Tamandua tetradactyla: one gene and its partners. The protein of the gene in region 4 purifies or fractionates together with the protein of the main gene of each other region. This does not show direct contact. Links are inferred from orthologs where the notes say so. Each region holds a gene or a part of one and is shown on either strand. Other genes may lie near its edges. The genes, in order: FAM117A, ANAPC4, GLCCI1 and DYRK1A.

The links.
Region 1: the proteins of DYRK1A (region 4) and FAM117A purify together in Homo sapiens (affinity purification with mass spectrometry; 4 studies listed by BioGRID and IntAct, with this or other methods). This does not show direct contact. The link is inferred for Tamandua tetradactyla from reciprocal best matches to the Homo sapiens genes DYRK1A and FAM117A.
Region 2: the proteins of DYRK1A (region 4) and ANAPC4 purify together in Homo sapiens (affinity purification with mass spectrometry; 3 studies listed by BioGRID and IntAct, with this or other methods). This does not show direct contact. The link is inferred for Tamandua tetradactyla from reciprocal best matches to the Homo sapiens genes DYRK1A and ANAPC4.
Region 3: the proteins of DYRK1A (region 4) and GLCCI1 purify together in Homo sapiens (affinity purification with mass spectrometry; 8 studies listed by BioGRID and IntAct, with this or other methods). This does not show direct contact. The link is inferred for Tamandua tetradactyla from reciprocal best matches to the Homo sapiens genes DYRK1A and GLCCI1.

What each region holds. Positions count from the first base shown.
Region 1 is NC_135332.1:30,938,463-30,946,991, forward strand, and holds the start of FAM117A (protein FAM117A), read right to left. Parts: upstream 3,477-8,529; 5' UTR 3,417-3,476; coding exon 3,221-3,416; intron 3,152-3,220; exon of another isoform or gene 3,137-3,151; coding exon of another isoform or gene 3,016-3,136; intron 1-3,015.
Region 2 is NC_135345.1:25,466,252-25,473,939, reverse strand, and holds the start of ANAPC4 (anaphase-promoting complex subunit 4), read right to left. Parts: upstream 3,154-7,688; 5' UTR 3,059-3,153; intron 2,936-3,058; 5' UTR 2,926-2,935; coding exon 2,797-2,925; intron 1-2,796. UniProt on the Homo sapiens protein: Component of the anaphase promoting complex/cyclosome (APC/C), a cell cycle-regulated E3 ubiquitin ligase that controls progression through mitosis and the G1 phase of the cell cycle.
Region 3 is NC_135327.1:116,945,603-116,953,392, forward strand, and holds the start of GLCCI1 (glucocorticoid-induced transcript 1 protein), read right to left. Parts: upstream 3,590-7,790; 5' UTR 2,991-3,589; coding exon 2,549-2,990; intron 1-2,548.
Region 4 is NC_135336.1:104,635,586-104,643,871, forward strand, and holds the start of DYRK1A (dual specificity tyrosine-phosphorylation-regulated kinase 1A), read right to left. Parts: upstream 3,436-8,286; 5' UTR 3,325-3,435; intron 1-3,324. UniProt on the Homo sapiens protein: Dual-specificity kinase which possesses both serine/threonine and tyrosine kinase activities. Exhibits a substrate preference for proline at position P+1 and arginine at position P-3.

The DNA of each region.
Region 1 (8,529 bases), on a different chromosome or scaffold from region 4:
GTTCTATTGGGCGGAGGAGGTGCAGAGGCAGCATCCCAGCACCCAGCCAGCACCAGTGGGGCTGGTCTACTGGAAAAATAATTTGCAAAGCTGGATTAAACATTATCTTCATTCTAGGGATATGGAGACAGAGACAGTAAACAAGATAGGTGAAACTGGAACCCATAACAGTTCTCCTCCTAATCCCATTTTGTCCATTATCAATTTCTCAGCTTCCAACTGACATAACACAAGAGATTTTAATTTAATGACTAATTACAGTAAGACATTTATCCTGAGTTCTTTGCTTTCTTAGAGTTGACCTTCATTTTTCTCTCCACTCTCTTCAGGCTTACTCATCCCTAGGCCAGGCTCATAAAAATGAACCCATTCCCACTTTACGAAACATCCCTTATGGTTGAATGGCCGCAGAAGGTAAATCCTGCTCTTTACACCATAATCCTTTTTACAAGGTCTAATATATCTTGTCAAGTGCACAGCAGGGTGTGTGGCAGGGAGATAACTGCACAGCCCTGAGCGTTACATCACTTTTGAGATGGGAAACAGAAACAGTGACGACACTTAATTGTTCCTGAAACCTAGTCCCAGCTCCCATGCCTTTTTAAACAACTGGGTTTCAGAGCCCCGTTCAGAAAGCTAATTTTAAAAGATGAGGGAATATAAGTGCAAGCGAAATTCTGAAACCTGCAGTACTGGTTTCAGACCAATCTGGGTTTGCTCTTTGAAGCCTGAAAAGGCAATGGGCTCTGGCCAACAGTGCTCTCACCTTGGTTTGGGGGAGGGAATAATAACAATATAAGCAGCAGCAAACACTTTTATAGCACCCTCTATGTGCCAAGCACTGTTCTAAGCACAATATATCTATTAACTTGTTTGATTCTTATGATGAAGGTATTATCCACATTTCACAATGAGGAAAATGAGGCATACTTCCTCAAGGCCACACTGCTAGTGTATGGCAGAACCTGGATTAAAAAAAAACCCAGGCATTCTCATTCCCAGCTCTGTGCTCTGAAGGGTTTATTAAAGAAAGAGGCTTTCATCTATCACATATATCCTACTGGCATAAAAGAAACCACCCCTGACAGTTCTCAGTGCCAACAAATGAAAACAGACTACATACACATAAAGATTTAAGTTAACACGTAGAAGGCCTGATGTGCCCCTAAACCAAAGTCCAGGAACATTCTCGTGTCTGGTCACAAATAAATCCACAAGCTCAGACTACTATTTCTATTCTTCCTCTCACCTGTCTCACTGAAATCTACAGATAATCCCACTATCCACCAGGCAAGCACCTTATTAACACCTCTGGGATATTAATATGTGGAGACATTATAAATCAGGCCCACCTATAAGCAAGAATCCACCCAACTTGGCCCTAAATCATCTGACAAGTTATGCAGAGCTCAAGTTTCCTGTTTTTACCAGTATCTTAGGGCACCTGGTTCTGTAAAAGGAGCAGGCCACTAAAGAACCCAGGCATCCAAGCCTGCACTCCTGCTTTCACAGCATTTACCAGTTTACCCTTTAAATATTAGTTCTATAGTAGACACACACAAAAACTGCTGTTAAAATGATTGCTAGTAGATTTCCAGCTACTACACAGGTAGGCTTTCTGTTGATTTCTACTAAAAGTGATTAAGGTTCTGGTGCTTGCTGTTCCACTAACTTCCCTGAGCTCAAAAGGAACCCAAACAAAACCAACAGGTTTGTAGTCTTGTGGTTTGCTTTACAGCTCATGATAGGCATAAGTTTGTCTGGGCATTGCCTTGCTCTACACCACGGGATTCTACACATACTTTTACTACTCGGTCACCATCTTGCTACCAGATTTGACCAAGTTTCTGCATTCCCTGATATGATGCTAACATTTATAGTAAGGTCCAGATAGGCTTGTAGACTTTCCGCCTCCAAGACCCTCTTAACCCCATTCTTACCTAGCAATGCACTGTAGCAGATATGTTTTCAGGAGGGGGATGTGCAGTAAGTAAGTTTAGTAATCACAACAATCTCAGGCGACTCTGGTTTAGAGAATGCCATTAACTGTTTGATGGCAGAGGCGATGACTTCTGTACATTTAGTACAGACTCTGAGGTTTTGTAAGTGTGCAATGATCTTTTCACATCTGGTGTGAATCAAATGCAAGCCTCACTTTCAACTTATTGCCAACCTCCTCATGCAAGTAGGTTTCTTTTCCTTTTCCAAACTGCCTGTATTTGTGGGACCCGTCATGGCTTTGAGTGTGAAAGCAAGGTTAAGTTGGCTCCTCCCGAGTTTCCTCACACCTACCACACCAAGCTGCTATTAAGATACCACTTCAGTGCTGTTCAGAAAGTAGGGTATTTGCCACGGTGCACTAATGGGAGCCCTCACCCCACTGCCACGTTGGCTGGCAATGCTCAGAACAATACAACCTTGGTGGGGGGAGGAAGGAAAGGCAGGGGGCAAACTGTCTGTGTCCTATACACATACACACACACACACACACACACACACACACACACACACACACGGGATGGTTGGAATGAACAATCATACTAAGCAGTCGATGATCTGGGGAACATACAACTTCTGGGCTACAGCGAGAGGAATGCAGGGAATCGGGAGCGGAGCGTTCGCATCGCAGTAAAAGCCGTTAAACTTATTCCAACCGCTCAGACGAAATCGGCTCCAGAAGGTGGCATAAAGGAAAACGCACGTGAAGTAGCGGGGAGAAGAACTCCAGAGCTGTAAAGTGGGATGCTGGGGCCAAACTTAAGTCGGAGAAGTAACACATGGCTCCACGGGGCTCTCCTCCATGCCCCTCCCCCTCGCCGTGCAGGCGCCCAGCGCCCACCGGCGGCTCGCTCCCAGCGCCAGCCCTCCCGACAGGGCGCCCCCATCACGCGTCGCTCCTTCCCCACACCTCGCCCCCACTCTCGGCATCTACCACTCACCCCCACACGACACTTCTGCCCACTTTTCAGTTACGCCCCCAAAGCCAACCTCCATCTGTCAGGTCCCTCACCTCACCTCCCGGCCCCGACTCCCTGCACGCTGGGTCCCAACAGTGAGCCCCACCGTCACGGCTCCTCGCTCTCGCTCCCTCCGCCCTCGTAGATTCTGCACCCTCTTTTCTCTCCTTCGCCCCCATCCACTTCTCACGCACCCTCCGCTCTCGTCACGCGCCCCCTCCCCCAACGGCTCCTCCCCCGTACCCGCTCCAGGCCCGGCTCACCTGCGCGGCCACCCCCGTCCCGGCGCTGGTGCGGCTGTTGCAGCTGGAAGGGGACCGTGGCCCTGAGTGGCTGCAGCCCAGCCCGGGAAGAGCCGGCGGGGGCTGGGGGAGAGCAGCCCCGCCGGAGCCCCCCAGTCCCTCCGCGCCCCGGCCCCCAGGCACCTCCGCCTCTGCCGCCCGCTGCGGCCCCCGCCATTGCCCACCCGCCAGACAGCCTGCCTGCCTCAGCCCCACAGCGAACCCCACACAGCCCCCCAACCCCCGCTGCCGCTACTTATCTGTCCTACGGGGCGGGGCCCGGCCCCCTCTTCTCAGAACTTTCATTGGCTTACGGATCCCCAGACCTCCCTCCCGACCAATCCGCGGATGGCTCTTCCCTTTTCTGAGGATGATTGGTTTCAGAACTTAGCGATCCCGCCCCTACCCCCAACATCCAGTCTGCTTGCCTACGGCCGAGAGGCTGCTGATTGGTCAACCCCGAAGAGGGCTAGTTCTCCCGCGCAGCCAATGAGAAAACGCAGAAAGGGGCAGCGTTACACCCAGCCCCAGGTAGTATGCAAATACGATGTCGCGTGACGTCAACTGTGCCAGAGGCGGGGCGGGCGTAGGTTGCAATCAGGCTCTAGCTGGTGAAATCGTTATAGGGGGTGAGGGGATGTCAAACTTTTAGGCAATTGAGTCCGGGCAGCACTGAGAAAGCGCTAACTTCAAAAAGCATTATATTTGATTTAACCTAAAAACGTTATTATTCAACCCTTATAGGATCTCAGTGCTTGCTTGCAATCTCCAAACTAAGATTCTACAAATGAATGCAAAGTTTGCACAGTATTTGCATACAATTTGCATAACATTCGTTCACTTAATGGCTCCCGTGCCTCATGTGACACCCACATTTGTCCTTCCCCACGTTTCCAAGTTCTTATTTGGTGTTGGTCCAACCTGAAACAGCTGCTAGCCTACAAATTAAATTGGAACTCTGAAAAGGAGCAGGGAATTTCCCTTCAGGGTCGTCTGTTCCAAGTCTAGCTCAGCAGAGTGGAAGGAATAAAGTGACTGTGGAACTTGCCTAAGTTTCCACAGAGACCTCATTAGCAAATCCTAGTCTTCCCAATTAAATACTGTCATCTAAGTCAAAATGAGACTGGGTGGTCCCCCCAAAAAGGAATGCATGCAGATGTGAAAAACCACATGCTATAATATATATGAAGGAATTTGGGAAAGAAAACAACATTTATTAAGTGCTATTAAAAATTACTACTCTGTATTTATCAGTCATTTTATTCTATATATGGAAAAAGCAGAGGCAATCAACTCTGGGTAGTCTGTGTTAAGGGACCATCCAAATAATTGGATAATTCCCTCCAGATTTATATTTAGCTGTGAATTCTAATTTTGATCTTGCCACCAATTTATCTTTCTATTTCTGTTTTTGCCCAGTTTAATGTTAAAAGTGAAGGTATCCCTGAAGACAGTAACTAATCAGAGAAAAGGAGATAAACTGGGGGAGTGCTGTGTGGTAAGGGGAAGTCATTCTGGAATTAAATATTGAAAGCAGATAATATACAATGTGGAAACTCAAGAGTGGCTGAATATTAAATTCAGCCTACATACACAGAACAAATGAAGGCAATGGAATCTCCTGAGGAAGGGTTATCCTTGCAAAGAGTGCAGTCACACATTTGAAGGATTTACTTTAAGATTTGACATTCAAAGTTTTTTTTGACTGGAGAAATGCTGAACTCCTTTTCCATGAGGGGGACAAAGGCAGGGAGGAATGAACAAAAGCTGATAAACTGATGAAAGCTCAGACTTTATAAACCCTGTTTGTTTTTTTAAAATTCTTGCATTTATATTGTTCCTCAATTCCAAATAGATTAAAGTCTTCACATACTATTTTTTTAATCCTCATGACAATCTGGAAGAGGGAAAACATGAATTCTTGCCCTGATACAGATGGGGCAACTGAGGCCCAGAGAGATGAATCCTTTTGATTCCTTGTCAGATCTCTATCCACTGTTGGGTCACCCTACATCACATCTTCATTATAAAATCTGTAATGATAGCAGCTAACATTCACTGGGTTCCTTTCTCCATACCAGCTACATGTTAAGCATGGTGCGGTGTGAATATTTGGTGTGAGATAGATATTACCACCTCTTCATTGAGGCTTGAAAGAGAAGTAACAGTTCCAAGGTTACCTAGGCAGCCTGACTCCAGAACCTGAGCTACTAATCTCTATGCTTGTAAAACTTTCTTACAAACACAGAAGGATTACTAGAGTCTCCAAAGATGCAAATCTGGCTGTGATATTAAATTTAGTTAACATTTGTCTAGGGCTTTCTAGCTTTCACATACACCATCTCATTTAATTATCTCAATAGGCACAAAAGGTGAGAATGCTGATTTTTTTGTACCCATTTTATAGAAGGCTAAGGCACAGAGGTTGGATGACCTGCCCAAGATTATCCAGTTCAGAATTTATATCCAAGTCTCCTGACTCAAGAAAACACTCAACTTCTACATCATTGGGCCTGCCTGAGGACAAAAGGGTAGGCCAGTACGTCTCTTCTTATCTGACATTTTACACCATTTTATGACTCCTCTACCTGTAAATTCTTGGGCAGTTTTCAGTTGACGGTGGGTAGTTTTTATTGGTTGAACCACAAAGTATATGCTAGAGGTAAAAGAACTGGGATGATGGATCTTGAGACATTTTGGGTGAGTGGCTTCATCTCTCTTTGCCAGGATCATCCGTTATATCAATCTCACAGAGTTGTTCTAAAGATAAAATGAAATATTATGGTACAGATGAATTTTTCCTTTGCAGAGAAGAGTAATATGGGTGGTTCCAAGGACATGAGGTTCAAACCTCTGCTCCAAAGCCAAGGTGCCAGGAATCAAGGAGCTGGACAGGGGAGGAAAAGTCAATGGAGTGGCATAGCTGATGACCTGGATCTTCTGAGTCCAGACAGTCATGGTGTTTCCTGATAAATAAGGGGCTGGCAAAAGACAGTAAGTTGGCCCCAACTGGAGGAGTGAGAGGGTAGACATGCCTAAGAGAACCCAGTCCTCTCCTTACCAGGTATCATACCCAACCAGCTGTCTCTTATTCCCTTCTCTAGAACTGATAGCTTCTCCTGGCATGGACATGATGGGTAAGTTAGGACTATATCTGAAGATCAACCCATGTCTGTTTCCTCCAGTGAAAAAAGCCACGGCTTTGTGAAGATTATGTGCTGCTAAGGGGAGATGTCATGCTTTACAAAGTATCTCCTAACCTGCAAGAAAACTTTTGTCACTGTCCCACAGTCATCCTACCAATATCATCATCATTAATTAATCCACTCATCACAAATTCGTTTAAGTGCCCATTACATGCGAGACACTGAGCTAGGAACTAGGTAATGGCAATAATATTCAGCAACATGGTCCCTGCCCTAGGGTTCATAGCTAACAAACCTTGAAAGCTGGAGACAGAAGTGGCACTGGGCTAGGTGGTATTCCAATTGAGAGACATGACGTGATTCCTGCTTTCAGGGTTTTCAGGTCTGAGGCAGGCACTGAAACACATGAAGAGTGGAATATTACATAGACCAAATATATCAATAAATTGTTTTCATTTTTGGAGAATGATTTGCCTTATAGAGTTTCAATAGCAAGCGCTCAGTCCCGATCCCAGCCTACTCTTGGAATGTTCCCAACTGTCACAAATAAATGATGACTCAGAGAATATGAGTTATTTTTCCTACTTGTGTGAGTCAGAGGTATGGCTAGTCCCCAACCAATCCTTCTAAGGCTTGGGACCTTAAAAGCTGCAAGAGTCCAAGGGGCTACCAAGGACAAAAAGCTGTGGGAAATTTTGGCAGATCAGAGGATCAGCACGGAGGCCTTGTGCTGCTGGCTACTGGATGAAGAGAAGGCTTGGGTTATCACAGCCAAAGAAAGCTTTCTAGTTTTGAAGACTCTTTCTAGTTCTGCAGCTCCTTGATCCTCCACACCACATGCCCATTTATGCCCCAATAACCAACAAGTATGGGAGTTCCAAATCACCACTTTTACCCTTCAAAATATCTTACCCAGTAGCAATTGTTCAACAGAAAACAGAGAAATCTTGATATTTCTTGGTACTTGGGGGATCATCTCCAAACTAGCTGGTAAATGTCTAAGTGCTTACATCTCTGCCCCCCTTTCCCCAGTTCAAAAATAATAAAGCAGAAAATAAGATGATGCAGACACATAGTGTCTCCTTCTGACCTCCCTCCTTTAACTCAGCCTCTGTCTGAAATGTCAGGCCCAGCTCCTCAGGGAATGAGATCCTGAGAAAATGGGGTCAGAACTGAAGGAGCAGAGCAGCCTGAGAGGGATTGGGAAGGAGGGTTGAGGGAATGAATGAGGTTATGGGAACAGAGTAGGGAGGGGTCCTATCCTGCAGCATCTCTTCCTACCCTGGTAGCCTCCCTCCCCTGTACCCCTTCCTTCTTACTCCCAGGGTAACCAGATGTCCTGGATTTTGACCTTCGATTCTTTCTCTGACACAGTTTGTCCCATGCTGTGGCCCACCACTTTCTGTCTTCATTCCCAGTTATCTCATTTATTTGTTCTCCTTCATTCCAACTGAATGACATTCACTCCTTAACTCTACTTTTGCTTTCTATAGGAATCAAATTTTCTGCTAAATTGCAGCCTTAAAAAAAATTTATTGAGGTGAAATTCATATAACATAAAAGTTACCATTTAAAGTGAACAATTCAGTGACATTAAGTACAGCCACAATTCATACAACCACCACCTCTATCTGGTTCCAAAACAATTCCATCACTCCAAAGTAAGACCCCACACTCATTAAGTAGTTTCTCCCTATTTTCCCCTCATACCAGCTCCTAGCAATCAGCAATCTGCTTCTGTCTCTATGGATTTATCCATTCTGGATATTTCATATGAATGGAATCATACAATATGTGATGTTTGTCCTGATATTCTAGCAAGCAGTGGGGACAACCAAATCAATAGGCCGAGCCCTCAATCTTGAGGTTTGTTCATATTAAACTTATCCCTGCAAAGGATAAGTTACAATTACAATTGTGCTACTTACAATTGTACTACTTACAATTAGGCCTAAGAGTCACCCCCAGAAAACCTCTTTTGTTGCTCAGATGTGGCCTCTCAGCCAACAGGACAAGCAAACTCACTGCCCTCCCCTTCTCTATGTGGGACATGACTCCCAGGGGTGTAGACCTTCCTTGCAACGTGGGACAGAAATCCTAAAATGAGCTGGACTCAGCATCAAGGGACTGAGAAGATCTTCTCGA
Region 2 (7,688 bases), on a different chromosome or scaffold from region 4:
AGAAAAAATGGAAAAAACAATGGATACCTACAATGGTAGATCTAAAGAGACAGAAGCTACAATTAGTGAACTGGAGGATGGAACAACTGAATTCCAAAAAGAAACAGAAACTATAGGGAAAAGAATGGAAAAACTTGAGCAGGGAATCAGGGAACTGAATGACAATATGAAGCGCACAAATATACGTGTTGTGGGTGTCCCAGAAGGAGAAGAGAAGGGAAAAGGAGGAGAAAAACTAATGGAAGAAATTATCACTGAAAATTTCCCAACTCTTATGAAAGACCTAAATATACAGATCCAAGAAGTGCAGCGCACCCCAAAGAGAATAGACCCAAATAGGCGTTCTCCAAGACATTTACTAGTTAGAATGTCAGAGGTCAAAGAGAAAGAGAGGATCTTGAAAGCAGCAAGAGAAAAACAATCTGTCACATACAAGGGAAACCCAATAAGACTATGTGTAGATTTCTCAGCAGAAACCATGGAAGCTAGAAGACAGTGGGATGATATATTTAAATCACTAAAAGAGAAAAACTGCCAACCAAGACTCCTATATCCAGCAAAATTGTCCTTCAAAAATGAAGGAGAAATTAAAACATTTATAGACAAAAAGTCACTGAGAGAATTTGTGACCAAGAGACCAGCTCTGCAAGAAATACTAAAGGGAGCACTAGAGTCAGATACGAAAAGACAGAAGAGAGAGGTATGGAGTAAAGTGTAGAAAGAAGGAAAATCAGATATGATATATATAATACAAAAGCCAAAATGGTAGAGGAAAATATTACCCAAACAGTAATAACACTAAAAGTTAATGGACTGAATTTCCCAATCAAAAGACATAGAATGGCAGAATGGATTACGACCCAGCAATACCACTGCTAGGTATCTACTCAAAGGACTTAAGGGCAAAGACACAGACGGACATTTGCACACCAGTGTTTATAGCAGCATTATCTACAACTTCAAAGAGATGGAAACAGCCAAAATGCCCATCAACAGACGAGTGGCTAAACAAACTGTGGCGTATACCTACGATGGAATATTATGCAGCTTTAAGACAGACTAAACTTATGAAGCATGTAATAACATAGATGGACCTAGAGAACATTATGCTGAGTGAGTCTAGCCAAAAACTAAAGGACAAATACTGTATGGTCCCACTGATGTGAACCGACATTTGAGAATCAGCTTGGACTATATCATTGGTAACAGAGACCAGCAGGAGTTAGAAACAGGGTAAGATAATGGGTAATTGGAGCTGAAGGGATACAGACTGTGTAACAGGACTAGATACAAAAACTCAAAAATGGACAGCACAATAATACCTAAGTGTAATGTAACTAGGTTGGAACACTGAATGAAGCTGCACCTGAAATATGGTTTTTTGTTTGTTTGTTTGTGTGTTTGTATCTTTTGTTTTTGTTTTTTTCTTTTTCCTTTTTATATATATATATATTAGTATTATTATTTTAATTCTCTTCTCTATATTAACATTCTATATCTTTTTCTGCTGTTTTGCTAGTTTTTCCTAAATCGATGCAAATGTACTAAGAAATGATGATCATACATCTATGTGATGATACTAAGAATTACTGAGTGCATGTGTAGAATGGAATGATTTCTAAATGTTGTGTTAATTTCTTTTCTTTTTTTTGATTAATAAAAAAATTAAAAAAAAAAAAAAATTACAAGACCACTAAACTCATGGATCAGCCCACTTGCCTTGTCAGCTTTTTCATACCTCTCCTTTCACTCAAGCTTCCAGTATTTTTTTTTTCTTCATCAGCTTTCTTAGATTATTCCCTCAACAGGAAAATGAAAACAAGTGCCTACTCATCTGATTGCACTGATGCCCCTATTCTCTACTTTCCTCCCTATTGCTGAGGCTGAACTATCTGTAGCTTATCTACTCCCATCTAGAACCGTCACAAAGTTACAAAGCACCCTGGCAGAAAAAAGACTAGAAGATTTCACGGAGGGGCAAGAAATCTAAGGACATATTTCATCTTCTGGTACAATTATCAGTACCCTGGTAGCGGGGTTATGGCAGGCAACAAGGTGAAAGAGTTCTGTATACTGCTAACCTTACCTTAACATCTATCTTTGAAACTCGGGCGCACACACCGCTCAAGGTCTGACAACTATCAGGAAAACTGTCAGGAGGCCAAAGGAGGGAAGATGCACCAGTGAAGGTTTCTTTACAGAATGGCTCTGCGGTCAATATGAAATCTCGGCAAAAAGTTGTATACATTCTGTTTATACATGTAGGGTAATGTAATATGAACTAGAAATGCTTATCAGTAAGTCACTGCACGTTCTGGTAGAAATCCTGCGAAGCATGTCTCCCTTGTTCAATTTAAATGTATTTAGCAATGAAACCACAGTTTAAAACTTGGACAGCAGAATGAAAATCCTTAAACCTGTAGTATCTGACAGTTACGTGTATGTTGATTTTCAGCGAACTCACAGTAATAACTCATTTTTCTTTTGCTACTAAACTGTAAGCAAACTTAGGGTAGAGTCTGTGCATCTTCCACTATTCTCGCTCAGTGAATGAAGACCATTTGGGGATGCAGAATTGTGTTAAGCTATGTGAAAATGGACCCACAAATATTATTAATTTTCGCGCATATGGCCCTTTGCACTCTCTCTAATAGCTGCGGTCATGGGAGTGAGAGGCGGGGAAGTCAGGTACCCTGCCCTGTCCACAGAAAAGGAAACTGAGGCTCGGGCAGTGGGTGACCCGCACCAACAGGGGGTCAGCCCTGCCCCAGACGGGCTCCACGCCGGTTCACTTACCTCGCCCGTCGTATTGGCCAGAGCAATGAGATCCCGCTTGGGAGACCAGACTAGGAAAATGATCTCCTGCGGCAGCTGCTTCTCGCCCACCACCCGGAAGGATGGGAAACAGGTCGGAAAACGCAACATGGGGGCCGCCCTGCAAAGACACCCTAGTTGGAGGCCGGTAGCATCCCCTCCGCCGGCCCAGGGAGCCCCCGCCGCCCTGTCCCGGCCGGACACGGCGCCGCCTCCGACCCCGCGATCTCCGACAGGGCGGTACCTGCGAGGGTCCCCTCGGCGGCCCAGGCGATCCAGGCGGTACAGACCGCCCCAGCAGCCTCCCTCCCTCCCTCCGTCGGCCGCGCGCAGGAGCCTCCGGGCCGTCCGGGTGCGCGCTTCGGCACTTCCGGCGCCGGGACTTCCGCGCTAGAAAACGGAGCTGGCGCGCGGCTGGGTGGGGGCAGGCGGGATCGGGGGTTCGGGGTCGGTGGGCTGGGGGCGGCGAGCGCGGGGCATTCGGGAGCGCTGGGCCAGGAGGCGGCGAGCGGGACGCATGGGGCTCGTCCTTATGGCCGCCTGCCCGCCTGCCTCTCCCGTTTTCCCGGAAATTTGCTTCTGCCAGCGAAGGGACAGTCCAGAGGTTAAGGCTGAGGCCTCAGAGATGATAGGGAGAGAAAAAGGCATGTGAATTCCGGGACCTGGTCAGCCGCCTTTGACAGCCTCTAAACAAGTGGTCTTCAGTTACAACGTGGGATCATCTGGAGAGGTTTTAAAATCCTGCCCATGCAGCGCTCCACACGAATTCAAGGAAAATCAGTACCGTGTGGCAGCCATCAGGTAGTAAGGATGGCTTACTGACTTTACTATAACTCCGTAGGTGATTACAACTTGAAGCCAAGGCGGGGACTCTAAACCCTCCTTCAGATGGGGATATAATGCCTTGAGTCCTTATCCTACATAAACCTCACTACATATTGGTAGTACTAGCCCCATCATATGAGAATGCGGAGTGTGGGCTCATCCAAGACTTAGCCTGTAGCTATTTGAGCATTTCCTATGTTCAAGAATCTGGGGCTACAGAGACGTATTGGACATGACTGTTCAAAAGGCTCTGTTCAAAATGCTCATAGGCCAGTCTGGCAGAGAACATGTAAATGCTGACCCTTCTGACTGCCCTTTATAAATGACATATTTAAATGTGTCAATCCATTCAACAGTTTCCTGAGCCGTGACTCGGGCTTACAGGATGTCACCATGACATCCTATGACTATGGTAGAAAGGCCTCCAGGTTTCACTTTTTACTTGTTCAATGGAAAAAAGGTGGCAGGACCTTCAGTTTTCAAGCTCTGTCATCTTGTACTCTCTCTGATCTAGCCCCTGGGAAGTAGGTGACAGATATAGATTAATTCATTCAGAGACAAATATTCAAGAAGCTGTTTTTGTGCCAAGTGCTGTTCTTAACTCTTGATGTTTACCTGGAACTTACACTGAATAAGAACCCTCATACAGCACATTATAAAAAGGATTGAAGGACAGGACAGTGTTAACTAGTTGTACACTAAGAAATTTTAGAAGAGATTAGAATGAATTTTCTAGAAAGAAGGTATTAAAGTTCAGGAAACAGGATAGCTTTGGAGTTCCATATGTGGTGAAATAACAGCAAATAGTTTTATATCCTCGTGTGTGTTGGTGGGGAGTAGGGAGCAGGGATTGTTGTTACTGGAAATGATCCTAAATAGGGAAAGGAAAAAAAACTATTAACACGCATGTGTTTTTAGCTTTTCCTTACTACCTGATGAAGAAGGTTCTTTGCTTTACCAGCTCCTTTCTTTACCTTCTCCATCTTTTGTGTAAGAACTGCTTTGCCAAACCTGCTCATTTGTGCTTTTGTAACAGAAAATCAAGAAGAAACGGGGAGAAAGTAGTTCATGGATCATACGCTATTTAAGGAAACAAGGCAGGAGATATTTATGTGGGAAAAGTGGGGAAAAGTGAAGTAAATGGAAAATAGGCAGATTTTAAGCATTTCTGCGCTCTGTATATTCTCTCCCTAAGTGTTTCTTTTTAAAATGCAAGAAAGAACTAACTTTTTTGAAATACCTCTTTGACTAGCTAGATTGATTTTCAATCGCCATACTCTTTGGTCTAGATTGTACTATTATAACAGTGAGGAGCCAGATTTGGAAAGGCCAGAGAGCTACCAACAGAGATTTCTGGGGGGTGAAGTCTATGTTAAGGTGGGAGTGTGGCATAAAAATCAATCCATCATGGCCAGCAGGCAACTGAAAAATCAGGTTTGAAAGTGAAAGGTCAGGACCTGAGAAAAGGTTTGAGATTCCCTCTTCTGTGTACAAAATGGAAGATGGAATTGTGGGATGTACCTATACAGGCCATATGAAGAGCTATTATTTTGAGGCCTGTTTTGAAGTCATAAAATGGTTGAAACACAAAACAAGCAAATTGAATGTGAATTTGCAGGAAAGAGAAAAGGATGTAAATGGGTGGTGTTGGAACCTCTCTGCTCTACCACAGTTGCATCCATTCGGCAACAAAAAAACGTGACTCAAAGTTGAACAGGCAATAACAAGAAAGTTGTGGTTAATGTAAATTAAAAGTCCAGCAGGAGGGCAGAATTCAGGCCAAACTAGATCCAGCATTCAGTCTCATCAGGAACCCAGCTACCTTGTCTGCCTTCTACAGGGTTTATATCATCATGAGGCTGGCTCCCCATGTGGTCACAGAAGACCGCAACTGGAGCTGTATGCTACCTCTTTCAGACCAGGAGAATGAACGCCTCCTCTACCAACCATAAGACAAAGATGTTGGACTTCATTATGATTAGACCAACCCCTATTAGCAGCCTAGCCAGAAATCACCCACTGGGAAAGGTGAGGGAATTATGCTGATTGATGGAGCCCAATAAAAAGGTTCCCCCCCCCCCCGCCTGCCCCCAGAGACCAGGAGAATACAGTCATTCCTCCCCCAACTCCCATGGCAGGTCTACAGTGGAGCACGCAATGGGAAGGTCTGTATGATGCTGCTGAAGCCATCGACACTGCGCAATACAACAATCAATCATGATAGTTAAGGGGTAGCTTTAAGTAGGAAGAACATTTGGGACATGATGTCTTGGCAAAATGAGTCTAAATTGGATTGCTGGGGTTTTTGTTGTTGCCCATGACTGTTTTGGTTGCTTTTCTGGGAAAGATATTCATACTAACTCATGGGAACTATTTTTCCAATTTGAAAAAAAGTTCTAATAAGAATTACAAGTCCAGTATTCGTATGTATAGGAATTTATCCTGAGGAAGTAGAGACTGGAATATAAGGAAGCTTATCATAGGATTATTTACAATCATGAAAAACTGTAAACAACTCAGGTTGTTTACTATGGGAGACTGACTTAAGAGTAGGTTGCAAATAATATGTATTTACAGTTCCGTTTTTGTTGGAGGAAATTTAGAGTGGGTCTACCTATTTAACTATTTATGCAAGATTCTGTGTTTGGAAGAGTACATGCCAAAGTTGTAACAGTGGTTATCTGTGAGAGGTAGAATTAGAGATGATTTTAATTTTCTTTGATATACTTGGATCATGTATCAATTCTAAAGATATTAAGCAGGAACCTTTGTTTCCTTTTATCCTCTTTAAACCTGAGGAATGTTTGGGCTGATTTTCCCTAGTTTGCTCCCATTCCTTGCCTTCACATTTGTAGATAAAGAAACAGAGGCCCACCGATTCAGACTGCTTCTTAGAGCTCACTGGATATTATCTAACCTGCCTCATCTAACCTGCATGCTATTAAAAACAAAACAGTTTTGAGAATTTTGTGGCTGTCCAACCAATAGGATAAAACTCACTGCTCACAGCTCTGAGATCTGCTTTCTCACTTTTGGTCTTGCTGAGTTTAACATTCACACTAAATAGCCTTCCAAACAACAGAAATCTCCTTTTCACAGTCGAGCTTCTTAGCTGACCCTGAATTATTTTAAGCCATGTCCTAATGCCCCAATTAAAATAGCATCAAATGCATGCAATTGGATTTTCTTTTGCGTTTTGTGGAAGCTTTCTTTACCTGATAGCTTTTCATGTAGCAGTTAGGGTTTTGAGGCATCATGCAGTTTATAAAAGGGATTTCCATCCACTCAATCCATAAAGAACATTGACCACTTGGAGGGCATTGTCTTGTTGCGAAGAAATGCCTTAGCCTATCTGCCCTACTCCCATGGTTATTGGGAGGAGGAGCTGAGAGCATATGTGATGCACCTGGTTGTCTCCTGATATCACTGTGTGCAAGGCCCAGGGCTGAGGAGTCACAGTGAACACACACGATGATGTCCACAAGGCCCCTGCCACTAACAACAAGCTTCTAATTTGCTCAGAGGTAAAAAAAGTACTCAAAGTTATTCCAATATAGGGCATGATTTAAGTACCTTAAAGAAGTATAAACTGGGGGTCCAAGGGTAGTTAAGTGGTAGAATTCTTGCTTGCCATGCGGGAGACCCGGGTTCAATTCCTGGTTCATGCACCTACCCCCACGCACAAAAAATTCAATAAATGCTAATGTAATAATGAGATAGTCACATGGAAAAAGAATGAAATGTGACCTCTACCCTACAGCATACCAAAAAATATATAAATAAAAATATATAAAAACAAAAAAATATATATAAACACACATTTTCCTCTCACTAGCCAGAGATTTTTGGAGAGACCAACGAGGACATTGTGAAGGAAGTGGCATCAGACCAGGATCCTTTGCAGGCTGTGCTTTTATATTTAAATATTAGTCAACTGTCTCCCAAGTGCCCGTATTTTATAGCTTACTTTGAAGGGACCAGCCATCAACTTAAATTTTTTCTTAAAATAACTTGGAAAGGCGTGGGAATGAGAAAGCTTTTTTGACCAA
Region 3 (7,790 bases), on a different chromosome or scaffold from region 4:
ACTATATACACATCCCTTGAGCCATCATCTACTTAACATTTTTAAAAGAGAATTTCAAATGCAGCATAACACCACCATCTTAAACACACACACAACACACACAGCACATTCTGGAGTGTGCAGAAAAGGAAAGAGGTTGAGAGCAGAGGAAGAAATGGAGCACACTGTTGTTTTTCATTCATGCAGTATAGTGATGTCAGTGTCTGCAGCAGCAGCAGTGGCGACGGCGGGCGGCAGCAGGAGCCTTGACCTGTGGAGGCTAAAATCCACTGAAGTCACAACCTTGCAGAATTCAAAAGAAACTGAGTAGATAATAATTTGAAAAATTAAATTGACTGTTCTATGTTCTATGGATTTTAAATGGTTATAGAGACAGAAAGATTAGTTGTATAATTTTAATTTGGGTGGCCAGAGAGCAATGGGATATGGAGAAGTAGGATGGGGTAATTCAATCAGGGAACTGGGGACACAAGAGCTTGCATTCAAAATCACCTCAATGCAAGAAACTGACAAAACCACCTGGTGTTACAAACACAGAAAAACATCTCTAGCAGAGAAAGCCCTTTCATTCTCAACACAAGCTCTCTGGTGATGCAAATCTGTTTGCTGCACAACTAGACTCAGAAGAGTGTTTTCATCATAATTGCATTAAAATTGCATTAACTTAGATGTACCACACCACAACAAAGAGGGTATTTTAAGCCTGACCCCAAATTTCATTAAAACTATTTCATTAAAACTATTTAATGACAGAGCATTAATTTCTAAGCAATGAAGGTTTTTGAAGGATGTAGAAAAACAACTCGTACTATGGTCTGTTGTAAGATATTAGTGTTTATCAACATGAGGGGAGGAGGTACCAGTACTAGATGGCCATTATTGTTGAAGCAATGTCAAAACTACTCTTACTCTGTCCACAAAACCTCTGGACACAATCCGCAATGCTTACCTTAGTCGCTAAAATAAAATCCCTAAACTCAATATATACATTGTTGAAGCAAAATCACCAGAAATTTATGTAATTGCTGCCTTCTTTTCATTTTGTTACCTCTCATTTCAAACAGCTCTAGAAAATGTGCAAGAGTGTTGCATATGGCATCAATCTGTTAGAAAATGGTGGCCTTTTCTATAAAATACAGCCAAAGATGTGTGTTCAGTTGTGGTCATTATTAGGGCGATCACGTTGTTTTCATTCATTCATTCAGGATTTGCTGGAGGATGTCAGTTTCTGCAGCAGCTGGCTTGACCTAGGGGAGGAGTGGGGGAGCAAATTCCTCCTGGTGCATACAGATTACAGGATGTATTTCTTGGTGCTCATGTACACATCCCACTACACTTATATCCTATTCTAGTTCACGATCAAGTGGTCTGAAAACAAGTGCCTTAGCAAGAAGCTAATTACAGGTCTGAGATAGTAAAACAAAAACATTAGAACTGCAATCTATCATAACACAGAGAATCACTTTCTCCAACTCTAAGACCTTCACCAAGAAAACTCCATTAAAAACAATTCCACATACCACATAAACATTGTGCAGAGCTCAAAAGTGTTTCTCTTCCAGGAAGAGAATTTTTTTTTTCCACTCAGTATGATCTGCTCCTTTTACAGCGCAGCAGCAGCAGCATCTGTAGCTCTAGGCTGGTATCTAATAATATTAGCTACTCCACTCTACTTATGAGCTTTAAGTCCCTGTTTTGGCTAATCTTTCTTTTCTCCCCTAGGACTCAACTAGATCATGCACTGTGTCCCTAGACATAAACAAAACAAAACCAAAACAGAAAACGTTACGACAAGCCCACAGTATCCACCAGGTCACTATTATCTTTGACACCTAACAAAACAGAAACATGAGATTCTTGAACAGTTAAATGTACTTTTTAAAAGGACCTTTAAAAATTTACCATAAAAATCCTGAGTTGGGCATAAACTGTTTCCAGTACCGTACTGCTCTGATGCATACGACTATATAAAGTAGAGAACAGAGACGGGGGGGGGGAAAAAACAACCCAAATCCAAAACCTTTCAATTGCACAGTGAAAACTGCCCCTTCTACACGTACAGCAGAGATCCTTAGATAATAACTACCACCACCAACCCCTCCAAAAAGATAACATTTATCCCGATAGTTACAGGCACATTAGGAACTTGCAGGAAAGCACAAAGAGTCTGCAGAGATTACCACCACCGTATCGGCAGCTGCAGAGTTGTGTGCGTGTTTTTAAGTGTCTCTCGCCCGGCTCCTTCTTCCCCTGCTACAAACAGCAAACACGCGAGAAAGCTAGTCGGCTATTAAACTGAATAACCTTTCGATGCAGGACAATGATGGGGGAGAGAAAATCTGAGGGGCGGCAGGAGGGTCAAATAAAAGTTGCTTTTCAGTTCGCTCAACCAAGCCCCGCAGCAACCGCAGGGGGGTGAGATTCCCAAAGCCGCTTTCACACCTTCGATAATGCACTAGCAAAGAGAAGCCCGGAGAGGCTGAAGTTTCCACGGAGGGCACCGTCGGGGAGACGCAGCCCGGGAGGACGGGAGGGTTGGGCTCGCTACCTCTGCACACGGGCGAGCCGGGGCTCCGTCTCTCAGGTGAGCTGCTCCTCCGGCGGCTCTCAGGGGACCGTCTCGGGCGGACCTTGGCCCGCGGCGCCTGCTCGGTCGGGGCCGCAGCCGGCGGCGGCGTCGGGCTGGGCGGGCTGGGGCCGCGGGCCGCGCCGGGGCCCGGGAGGCTGCCCAGCGAAGCGGCGGCGGCAGGCGGGCGCGTGGGACTGTGCTGACCGCCCCGCAGGAGCTGATAGGGCACCGTGGCGCGGATGGGCTGCAGCAGCCGGCCGGCTCCCGCAGCCGGGGCGCAGCCCACGCCGCCGCCGCCCGCACCGTTCCCGCTCCCGGCGGGCGCGAGGGCGGGCGGGGAGCCCGCGGCGCTGCGCCGCATCCTCTGCGGCGGGGGATGAGGGGTCTGAGAGGAACTGGAGGAGGAGGAGGCAGTGGACATGGTGGCTCCGCGGGCCCTGGACGCCGCCGGCCGACACGGAGGCGCGGAACGGGAGGCGCGCAGCGGGAGGCGCGCGAGCGTGTGGGAGCCGGCGCGATGGTGCGTGCGAGTGTGTAAGGGGGTGGGGCGGGGGTATAGGGGAGGAGGAGGAGTCTCTCGGCTCCCTCTTCCCAACGCACACCCCCGCCGCCTCGGCGAGAGGGGGGAGGGGAAAGCTGCGAAAACAAACGTCCAAAGGCCCCAACCGCCCGGGAGAGCTCGGCGTGTGGCGGTCACGGCCGGAGCCGCGAGGACTCCGGAGCCGCCGCCGCCCAGAGCATCGCGGTGACAGAGGAGTGGGGCAACCGCCTAGACCACGCAGCTCTGGGGGCCGCTGGCAGTTTCCTCGGCCCCCGCGAAGCTGCACAAGGAAAAGAGCCCGGCAGCGGCACGGATAGCTTCTGGGGATGAGGATAGGGGGAAGGGCCTCACGGTGCCTATAGAACCGCGGAGCCACCGCAGACGCCACCACCTCTACCCGGTCCTCACCCCGAATAGCAACTAATACCCCCACATACACGCCGGGACCCCGCCCCCGACACCACCTCCCGGTGCTCTGGACCCGGCAGCTCCCGCAACGAGGGTTTCTATTGGCTCCGCTGCTCTCCATCAGAACGCAAGTGATTGGTTCTGGGCTAAGAGTGAAAGCAGCGCTCCCCAATGAAAATGGCGCCCCTGTCTTTGGGGCGGGGCGTGGGGGAGTGGAATCGTGAAGGGGGGCTAGGCGCCCAGGGAAGGACGTAAGAGTTGACAGTAATTGCGGTGAGAGCGAGATTTTGATTGGGCCGCCCTAGTGAAGTTGGTCCATGTGTGTCTTGCGCGTGCCCCATACCACAGGCAAGGGCACACCCGCAAGTAGCTTGTAAAGTGCTCCACCTTCCTGGGTTAAGGGAATTTTACTTTGCAAGTACACCTGTTCCGGTGGGATGATGTAGAGTTAAAACTAGAAGTAGCCATCCCTTCCCCTTTAATCTTAGTTTGGGTTTTCGTGGATAGTATACTAATCAAAGAATTTACCGTGCTTAATATAATTAATAAAGTAGTCTGGAGCAATGTCTGGCAGCTGGATTGAACAAAAGGCCTTTTATATAATTTTATAGCCCATCCTAACATTTGTAGTTATACATTAAAAAGAGATAATCAAATCTTATGCTCCCTGATGGCAACTCTTCGGAGGGGCGGGGGTCAACTAGGAATGTTACATCATTATACCATCATTAGGTATATTAATGAAGGGTACCCGTTGGCTCTCCCCAGAAGCAGATGGCCTCCTGGAAGGAATAAATACCAGGTTTAAATGTAACAATCCACTGTGGTAAATTCTGTTTTTATTCTGAAATGAATCTGAAGAGATGCAAGGATTTCAGATGACTATCAAAAACCCAAGTTTACCCCACAATAAACTTAGGCTTTAAACCTTAAGCAGAAACTATTTATTTAACAGTCTAAATCAGATACCTTCTCTTAATTTCCAAGAGGTAAAAAAAGAGAAATGGGACCCCAGATTGGTCTCCCAGTGTTTGTTCATACTGACAAGGTTCCTGTGATTTCAGGGACTATATACAGAGATCAGTTTCAAAGGAGACATCCTTCTCTGCTTCCGTGTGCCTCACATTAAAAAGCATACTTAGTTCTGTAAAAAAAAAAAAAAAAAGTGACAAAATCCAATAAAAATACAAAAATTACATACAGTACTTCATTCCATTATGACTAGAGATAGTTCCTCACTTTATCTTATATTAGAATAAGAGCTAACATTTATTAAACAGTCACCATGTGCCAGCAATACTTAAGATAAATGCTATTATTAGTCTCACTGTGTTCTCAGCTGAGGCAAAAAGTGGTTAAATGTCTTGCCCAGGATTACTCAGCCTAGCTCAAGAGTCCAGGAGTAAACCCTTTCTCTGCTCTAGTGCCTCCTAGCTTAAAGCCTTGGGGTACTTGATCAGTAGAATATTTACAACAGTCCACAAAATTCATCTCTGAGATAAGTTCCCTTAGTTCAAAGAAATTTTACAAATGAAAACAGCGCACTATTATTTTGCTTTCCAGAATACAGATACTTTATATATAGGGCAAAAACCTTACTCTTTCAAAATTGGTATTCATCTGACATGTCATTTTTTCATCTAAAAATCGATAATTCCTCATTAATTAGGAAATAGCAATCTTTCATGAGTAAAAAGAATGATAAATGGTTTCTCTCTGGTGAGTTTTTCAGAAAAAGAAAAACAAAAAATCTTGACAGACTAAAATATGTAAAGCTTTTTTAAAAGTACTGGTAAATTTCTACATGTTGATTTGATTACAGCATGGATTCATTATAGAAATGTCATCTCTGACCACTCCTAGATATAATTATGTAAAAACCACAAAATATTATATTACAATAGTTCTAAATTTACACCAAGCCACTGTCACAGTGATCAAAACCTGATTTGGATCTAAAAAAGACAACATATCTCGCCATATTTTGAGGTGTTATGTGTTTGTTCAAATCTTCCAGAGCCGCCTTAAATCAGAGATGTAAAACAAATATAAATGGATCACATGGAGACTTAGTATGATCTTAGAATACTATTTTCAGCTACTGGTAAGTCATCATGACCTATTTGGAAGTTCAATTACTTTCTCTTTCCTAAGGAAATCTTAGGCAGCTCTTAAACCTTTATGTCATTAAATAAGCACTGATATTCATGTTTATAGAATTTAGTCTTCAAACAATTCAGGTGGGCTAAACTAAACTAAACCCAGTGCTTCCTTTCAAATGTCCCCATTTGTTGAATTATATATTTTTCTCTTATTGAGAATGGGAATGGAGATCCAAGGATATATAAAAGCTTCAGAAAATGTTCTCAGTAAATTGGTAACACCCAGAAGCAAGTGTGGATTGCTGGGCTAGAATGATATTGTTATGCTTCTATATTATCTATGGGATTCATAGGTCCAGCGCAGATTATGCCTATTTGTTGAAAATAAGTGTAACTATCTTTGAAAATTCTATATGCGGCTTCATGTTAGTAATGACCTCTCTACTATGTTGTTAAGTTCTTACTAGAAGACAAAATTGAAAGCGTAATTTAGCACATGGGAAATACTTTTGTTCTTAGTAGCCCCATGCCTTGGCCATCTGTAGGACATGAATCCACCATTAGCTAACCTAAAATAAAACACTGTTATGGGGTGGGCCACAGTGGCTCAGCAGGCAGAGTTCTTGCCTGTCATGCCAGAGACCTGGGTTCAATTCCTGGTGCCTGCGAAAAAAAACACTATTATGTGTACTTTTTGGTTCAAATATGGCAGTGGACTATATTTTAGGTTAGATTATAATTTGGAATGATTGCCACAAATGATTAGTTTCCAGCCCCCGGCGGAGAGATGAGCAGACAAAGAACAGTCGAGCCTACAGACCTACCAAAGAAGGGGCTTAGATTCCATAGATGGAAACCTTCCTCTTCTGGTTCCACCCAGATTTGTCAAGCTGTGCATCAAGACTCAACCAAATCTAAGGGGCAACCTAGGCTGTCAGTATTAGCAATGAGGTCATGGCTGTGAGAGAACACTAAACAGATCTACACTGATGTTCATCTTAAGCTAATTAAACTCTTTTGTAGGTGATTCTTAATAACAACAACAACAAAAAAGCCTTGCTTGCATTTTTGTCCCTGGCAGATGGGTAAAGTAAAACTCCTTACTGCTTATGAGAGCTTACGTGCCCCGTTGCACTAGCTCTTCCCTTTGCCTGAATATCTGAAGGCCCTTGCCCCAGATATCCTTGTTCTTGTTCCCCATTTCCATTAGGTCCTTACTCAGTTGTCACCATCTTCTTGGTGAGAGCCTCTCTGGACACTCACTTTAAAATTGCAAGCCCCACCCCCCTTAGGCTTCCCCTACTCTGTATCCCACTTTATTTTTCTCCAGAGCACTTATCACCATCCAACCTATCATATATTGTCATTCCCCCCCACCCCCAACGTCTGTAAGCCAAGAAGGAAGGACTTATGTTTTGTAATTGCTGAATCTCCAGCACAGTCCTTGGTACATGGTAGACAATCAATATGTATTTATTCAAATGTGGTTGAAAGAGTAGCCAGTTTTAATCAGTATTTGTTCCATGAACTAAAAGTGGTGCTTTACATCAGAAAAAAAAAATCATATGATAATAACAGGTGTATTTCTGCTGCAATGGCCAAACCACAGAGTAGAAAAATGTTCACTGTGGCCACTGTAAATCATACAGATATTTACTGGCATTCAAAAAGAAAGGAGTATCCCATAATATGGTCCTTACACAGGCAAAGTGAAAGATATTAACCTTAGTGGCTCTTGGAGGCTCATGGAAAATGGAACTGGTAATGGAGAAAAGACAGTTGAAATTTACAGGGTAAAAAAGGACAACTGAAATTGACAGTGAATGACAGCTGGGGAAGATCAGTTAGGGAGTGACACCTGCTGACGGGTAGTGGGCTCTATCTCAAGAGGCCTGAGTAAAGGAACTGAAAAATAAATATTTAATTCAATAGGAAGGAAAAGTATATGTAACCGACGAAAATTTTGTTTTTATTTTTGTTTTATTTTTTTAAACGAAGTTCAGGAAAAGCAATAGAGATAGGAGATAATTTATTTGTAACTGGTAAGGTCATCAAAAGAGTAAATAAGCAGTCATTCCTCCAAGGATAGGAAACAGTGATAAGGACAATGGATTTTTCAATGTTCCCTCTCACAGCAATTCCAATTGCCAACTGTGATGCCAGCGGCATA
Region 4 (8,286 bases):
CTTTGTACACAGAAGGTGCTATTATTCAAGTCATGCAATTCACTTTGTGAGGGCAAGTTGTGTCAGCATCAAGTTTCAGGTGACTATGTTTGAATTTTAATTTCTTTACTTCTTAATGGAAAATATACAAGTGCCTGTGGAGGTAAAAACATCAAAACACTCCTCAACGAAATTAACTCACAGTTTAAATTACCGATGAGTACAACAAAACTGTACAACTGGTAAAATGGGGGGGAGGGTGAAGAGCAGGTTCTTATAAAATCTCTTTCTGAAATTTTAAGGGTTTGCTGGTTTTGGATGGTTAGGGTTTTTTCCTAGGGGTAGGAGGGTTTTTAAAAAATATCTTTAGAAGAAATAGGAAAGCTCTTTGGGATAAGAGAAAAGCTAACACCAAAGCAAAGAAAAACTGATACACATCTTATCACATATATTGAGTCACAAATCTCTAAGCCTCCTCTTCTATTAATCTTAGGCAATTCCCTGCACACCCATAATAAAGTTATTTCTATCCAAATTTTCTTCCCATACCTATATACTTGCCAAACATAAACATGTGAAAACACCTCTGGGCAGTCTAAATTTCTAAGCTATTTCTTTAAAAAAAAAAAGGGTTTTCAAGTAATACCCAAAATTCAATGCAAATTAGCAATTTTTCTTTGTACAAGTACAAAATAAGCTATCTCGAATTTTGCTTTTGCAGTTAAATTATACAGACCACCTACGAAAAAACTAAGTAAATTTTGCAAATACTGGTTGTTACACTGACCACTACCCATCCCACGTGGTAGCTACAAATCATAAATAAATGCACTAACTATCCATAAGTAAATCTGAGGGACAGACATCAGACAATATTCTAGAGGGGAAAAAATTCTACCCAAGAATCTTTTTAACTATCCACATTTCCAAACAGGACATTGCAAATTAATAGATTTTTCCCACTTATTTTGAATGTTAGTGCCTCTTAACAGACTGCACTTTATTAATTTTTTAATTCCTAGGTCACAATAATTTTGTATGTTTACATTTCTAACAGGTCCCACCAAAAATTTTTTTAAATACATTTAAGAAACCATCTTATACCTAAATTTCAAATTCTTAATAAGATATCCTAAGATCCATTTCCCCTCTATCACTGGTTCTACCAATCAATGATGACCAGTCATCCATCCTACAACTCTATTCCTTCAAATCTAAACTCTTTTTTACATATCCACCAGGTGTTACAAACCCACCCTACAGACATGGATGAGACTAGAATTAATTTCTGGACTTATGTTTCTGTGAAATAAATGTGCGCTTTTACACCAGTTTTACACAGAACATGGTGTAGACATTCATAGCAGTTCTTCGTTTTCTGGGAAGGTTTGATGTCTAAACCATTTGGACAGCTACCATAAACACCACTGCTATTCCAAGGTAAATTCTCTAAGAATACTGGGGTAAGCCTAAGACATATGTACATTAAAAATCTTAACTATGACCAAGCAAACTTTTTTCTTAACTCCTGCTTCTCTGAAACTACCTTCTTGCGTTTTAAAACCTCAGCACATGGAATTTTAGTAGTTCCAGTCTCATGCTTATAATCTAATTTAAAATAATATTCTTTTAAAGTAAATGAACCATCAAGGTATAAGAAATCTAAGGAAACAAAAACTAAAGATAATTTTACTGAATTATTGAAATACTCCAAAATCAAAGAACTAAATATATTCATTTTTACTAACACTTGATATATGTAGAGTATAAAGTGTCATAGAGGAAATCTACATATTTAAAGATGAAATATGACTAAAAATAGCTACACAAAACTTTGAGTCATCAATACTTCAATGATGACTACAATTTGTATTGTCAAGAATACACACCAAAAAGTTTTCTTTCAATCCCTTCCATTCAAAAACTGACTACATGGTTTTCTTGCGGGGGGGGGGGGGGGGGGGGGGGGGGGGGAGTGGGGGAGGAGGTGGTGTGAGAGGGGAGCCTGACAAGTTTCATTAAGGAGGCCTCATCGCAACCCTTTCCTTCCACTTCCATAAACCAAAGTTAACTCTAAGCTGAACACTAGACTTAGACATGGACACAACCTCTAAGTTAGAACCCTGAGTCACTACACACAAACGGTTCCAAAATTCTCAAGTATTTATAATAACGAGTTTCATAAGGTAGTGGTTAAGGGCCCCAGCTCCTGCAGCCTCCCGGCTCTTCGTGTCCCCGCTGCCGTGTAACCTTGGAGGAGTCACTACCCGTCTCACGGCTCAAGGTCCTCATCTGTATAATGGGCAACCGTTCCTGCCAATGGGATCATTAATACACGTAAAGCGCCTGCCACTTCTTGGTCTTGAACTTTGGATACGTGTGAAAACCATGTGATAAAGTGTATTTTCTGATCCTTGGGCGAAATTAAGAACCAAGCCGTGCCGGTATTCGAGTGCCAGATTACAGGAGTCATATAATCTAGGGCTGGGTAAAAAACACAGATAAGTAGTCGGAGTCAAGCACTCACTAATTTTGCCATTTTTAACTACTGTCGAATAGGGAGGAGCGTCTTGCTAAGTGCTGAGGTATTCAGCAGCTTTGGTGAATACCAAGCGAGAGTGGATTTGGGTCTATAAATAGACTTGCGAAGTTTCGCCGTCTTAGCCAGGTATCAATTATAATTCACCCATCCCCAGTCACCAACTCCTCCAGCCGCTAAACAAGTCATTCCTTCCTCTCGAGTGGCCGGGATTATTACTTGCACTCCCCGCACAACTTCCGAGCAAGCCGAGCCCCCTCACTCGAGCTCAGACCCCCAAAGGGATGCCCCGGGATCCGGCTCCGACCTTCCCGGAGCCCAGCCTCGGCCCGGCCGCCCTCGTCTCAGCCCGCATTCGGCCCCATTTTCTTAACCGTGCATTGTCCTTGCCAAGAACCCCAGCGGTTCCCACACTGGTGGGGACCGAGAGGAGGGACGAGGGAGGAGCTGGGGGAAGAGGATGAGGAGGAAGAGGAGGAGGAGGAGGAAGACAACCTCCTCCCCTTCGCTCGGGCGGCCAGTGAAGGTCTGCGCTTTCTCTGGCCCCCAGGCCCCGGCTCCCCGGAGGCCGCGGCGCCCTCCTCCCGCCCTCCGCAACTTTCCCTCGGCTCGCACCCGCCTCTCCTCCGAGACCGGGCCTCTCGGCTCCCTCCCCCGGCGGCCGGGCCCGGGCCCGCGGCGCCGCTTCCTAAAATGGCAGGTCCCTCCCTCCACCCGGCCAACCTCGCTCGGCGCGGGCCCGGCTGCAGGCCGCGCAGGGAGCCGAGCGCCGGCCGGGCGGGGCCGCGGCCGGGCCGGACACTCACCGCGACGATGGCGGGGCGCTCGCGCCGCTCCCTCCGGTGAGTCTCAGCCTCGGGCTCCAGCCGCTTCGCTCCCGCCGCGGCCTCCGCCGCCAACGCCGCCCCGGCCGCTTCTCTCGGCCCCCGGCGCTCTCGGCTCCTCGCCCGCGCCGCAGCCTCCTCAGTCTCTCGCCGGCGCGCGGTTCCAGCGGCGCCCGGGGCCGGGGAGGCGACAGCCCCCTCCCGGCAAATACCGCAGTCCCCGGACCCCGGCTCCCGGGCGGCGGGGCCGCGCGGCCCGGCCCAGCGCTGAGGGCGGTGGCGATGAGGCCGGGCGCCCAGTCGCGGCCGCTCCCGGCTGCTTCTTCCCGAGGAGGATTTTGTAAATCTCACAAAATGGCGCGCGCTCCAAACCTGCGCAGCGAGAAGCGCCGGGGCCCGAGCGGCGGCGGCGGCGGCCGCGGCGGCTCCTCCGCCAGAAGAGCCCGAACCGCCCGCCCCCGAGTCCCGCACAGACAGACACACACACACACACACTCGCACACACACGCACGCACACTCGCCCTCGCACACGCTCGCTCGCACACACACTCTCACACTCACACCGGTCCCGCCCGCTCGCCGGCGGCGGCAGCGGCAGCGGCACCAACAGCAGCAGCAGGAACAGCAGCAGCAGAAGCGGCGGCGGCGGCACCCGCACCCCCCGCTCGGGGTGTCCGCTCCCTGCGCCCGACTTGGGCCGCGATCGGCAGCAGCAACAGCAGCAGTCTCCCCGGATCCCCCCGCCGCTGTTGCCGCCGCCACCCCCGCCTCACTCCAATGGGGCTTTTTATTATTATTCGGGCGGGAAGCGAAAGGGTTTAAAAAAAAACCAACCAACAAAATGGCGACGGACCGACCCGGTCGCTATAGCAACTGTCAATCAAAACGCAAAACCCCGGCTGACGTGCTGACGTCCTCCTCCCGCCCCCTGGCCCAAAACGGGCGGGCGGGGCCTGTTGCTCGGGTAACGGCAGATTCCGTTCCCTCCTTTCCCTCGCCCCCTCCATCCCGGACCAACCACCCAACCCCCTCAGGTCACGTGAAGGATAAATTCGGAGCTCGGGCCCGCTACGAGTGTCAGAGGAGGGCGCGTGATTCGCTCGCTCGGGGGAGGGGAGACCAGAGGAACGGACGGTCCAAGGGAGGGAAGGTGAGGGGGGAGCGAGGCAGAGGCCCGGCCTGTGCGCGAGCGCCCACTGCCTCCCTGGCCGCCCCGCCCTGCTCCCGCCGCGCCCGCGCCTACTGCGGCCCCAGGTGCGCGCGCGGCCTCCCGCTCGCGTCGCCACCGCCCCCGGAGCCCGGCGCTTCCGCATCGCGCGCCCGCAGCCCCGCCCGCGCGGGGCGGGGGAGGGGCGTGCGGGGGGCGGGGCTCTGCGGGCGCCCGGCGGGGCCCGGGAGCCCGCCGCTTCCCCCGGGCCGCACGCGCGGACGATGCACCCTCCCTGCTAGTCCGGGGTTCTTTCGGTGGCCTGGGCGCACACGTCCGTGGGTTGAAACTGTTCTTCGAAGGACTCACGTCTCCCCTTCGCCGGAAAATGCCCGCGGAGGCCGCGATGGGGCTGGGCATCTCCGGAATTCCGGCCGCTTCCCCGGAACCAGGGATGCCCCTACGGCTGGCACCTCAATTCAGTCCTACCGCTTGGTTTTTGTAGAAACTACTGCCACCGTCCAATAGTTACGAGTGCAGCCCCCCCATAAAAATTTGTTAAGGCTGTGCACCCTCCTTCATGGTTTCCCACCTGTTTCAAACCTTCCCGTACCCTCCCCACCTATCTGGGCACAGCCTTCCTTCTCATTCGGAATTCCCCTTAAATTAATCCTCTCGGGCTATTATTACTGTATCCTTGTCGTAAGTCCAACTCTCTGGTTTTCTTTTTGATGTATCTTCTCAGCTTCCGGGTTCTTGATTTGGCCACTTGTTCTGAACAATCAAAACTCTTTATTACTCTTCCAGCTTTCATTTAATTTTGTTCTGACTACTCTTTCTGTCTGGCTAAATGTTGCTGGGGGTGCTCCCCAAGCATTAAAACTGAGGCACGCTATGCTGGTTACTGTATTCCACAGCCACAGAGTGAAAACTGTAATCTGTACAAATCCAAATTAATAGTACCTACCTGTTAAATTTAAAAGCGTATATGTGTGTGGGTGGGTGTGTATATACTACACCAAAAGGCACTGATCTATTGATTTTTTTTTCTAAGCTTGGTTTCCCTATCTTTTAGTGCCCACAAGTACAGTATCAACAAATAGAATCTTATGAACAATTTTAGGTATAAGGAAAAACATTCTTATAATAAATATTGCTCCCTGTCCTATGTGACTCAAAGAAAGATGCTTGTTTTTAATGTTTTTCTACAAATGTTTCCTTTCTACAGTTAGGAGAATATTGATATACCGAGGCAATGGAACTACTCATCCAACTCCTTCCTCTGTCGGCATTCACCATGGTTTCACTTTTGTCAGAACACTCAAGCATTTACAATCTTTAACACTAAACTAAAGTCAAGTCAAGCTTTTATTGCTGTTTATGGAGGAAACCTGCATAATTAATTTTCTTGGTAACCCTGAAAGAATAGGCAAAGTCTCAGGCACTGTGTTCTTGTCTTTAGTCGAGGCAATCTAGAAGATTATCAGAGTGAGGCAGAATCTTGATTTTATAGACAAGCAGAAATAGAAGGTATTGCTGATCTTCATATCCAGAAGGCAACACCTTTTTCCCCCCAATATTGTGATCAACCTTACACAACATTGATTAACGAACTGTTGTGTCAGGTTGAATGCTGTAAAGTGGTTTTAAATAAGCTTTGCCTGTAAATTATAGCTGGCTCCAAACAGGTAAACACATGTAGACAGAAAGGACTCTGGCATAGATGCCAGTTTGGTGTTGATCAGGTTCGGTGATCAAATCCTTGCTGTCATCTGAGACTCCTAGACGGATCCACTTACCAGATGTGTCTTTTCGTAGAAGTTAACCAATAAAAACGAAGATCATAACCTAAAAAGCAAAGGTAATAAAAGCTTCTATTTACCGAGCACATTCTATGATATCTCTAATCCTCACAGCAAATTTTATCCCCATTTTATGGATGAGAAAACAAATCTGAGTAATGAAGTAACTTTCCTAGAGTCACAAACCAGTACATGATGAGGCCAGGATTCAAGCCCAGATGTAACTGCAAAGCTCAGGTTCTTTCCACTACACCAAGATGATTTCTGTTAAAATTCAAGTGCCAATATCTAAGAAATTCAGAATTTTTCTTCTGCCACTTCTTCTTATGTGTTTCCTATGATGTAAAGAGCTCTGGATATTTATTTCCTCAAGGTTGGAATTAGTGCCATCGCCACCTGACTCCAGATAAAAATACTAAATGGAATTGATACTTATTCCCAAGGAGTCTGTATGACAGCACAGAACAGTGACAACCTTATTAGAAATATGTGGAAAGAAAAACTTCACCTCTGCTGGTTGTTTGTTCAACTTTTCTCATCTCAGACTCGAACTGTTAATTGAGAAAAACTCACAGCAAACAAATCTGTTCTTAAGTTAATATGGTAGATTCATTCATTCATTCAGCAGTCATTTAATCATTTACTGAGTGCCTACCCAGGGTCTGGCGCTCACTGACCAGGTGCCCACCTTCCAGGGGTTGGCACTGTGCTAAGGAATACAGATAAAACTGAGATGCAGTGCCCATGTCACCAGATCGGCGCCAAGATGGTGGGTTCTTTTGGTTGGTCCACACACGATTGGGGACCACTTTTTGTGGCTCATGACACTGAGCTCAAAGGTTCAGTAATTGGACCCCTGCTAGGAGTTATGGCCTAAACTTTCCAAGAATAAGCAAGCTTACTAGTATTCCTAGCTCTGCTCCTCACACCAGGTGAGAAGGTGAAGGGCTCACAAGTCCTCCCTGGACAGCGGCATGGTCCAGAATCTGTCACCACTACTGTTTTTTGACCTCACAGTGAAGGTTCTTTATTGCTCCCTTTTTCCAAGCTTTAAGGTTTGTCCTGATTTGAAAAGTAGTGCATGTACATCAGATTAAAATGAAACAAAATAAATTAAAACACAAAGGGGGACCTCACTGATATGAAATAATTAGAATAAACAAACTCATAGAGTCAGAATCTAGAATATAGGTTACCAGGGCATGGGGTGGAATAAGGAGTTAATCCATTTCTATTTGGGTTGATCATAAAATTTTGGTACTGGAGAGTGGTGATGTTCACGCAACAACATGAATGTAATTAAGAACACAGAATTGTATATGTGAATGTGGTTAAAGGGATAAATTTTGAGCTGTATATATGTTACTAGAATAATAAAAAAAAAACCAAAGGACTATACAACACAAAACAGTGAACACTATTGTAAATGATTGACTATAGTTAATAGCACAATTATAAAAATGTTCTTTTATGAATTGTAACCAATGTCTCAGACTAATGCAAGGTGTTAATAATAAGGTGCTATATAAGAACTCTGTATTTTATGCATATTTTCTGGAGTAAACCTATAACTTCTCTAATGAAAAAGAGGGGGCCTGATATAAACTGACAACGGTTTCAGTGTGCTATGAACCAAGAAGTTAAATTTCAATTCACTACATCAGAAGTTCAAAAATATTAAAATAAAAGTAAAAATGCCACTACAGAAAGTTTTTTGTTTGTTTGTTTGTTTGTTTGCATGGGCAGGCACCAGATTCCCGGGTCTCCAGCATGGCAGTTGAGAATTCTGCCTGCTGAGCCACTGTGGACCAACCCAGAAAGTTTTACGATACAGAAAACAATATAGAAATAAAGATCACTCACAACCACCCCCCTCCTGCCTAGAGGTAAATCTTACTAATCTCTTCATGTTGGCCTATAACCTTCCAGGCATTTTTAGTGAAACACATGTGCATACACACACACAACATATATAGAACACGCACACGTGTTATG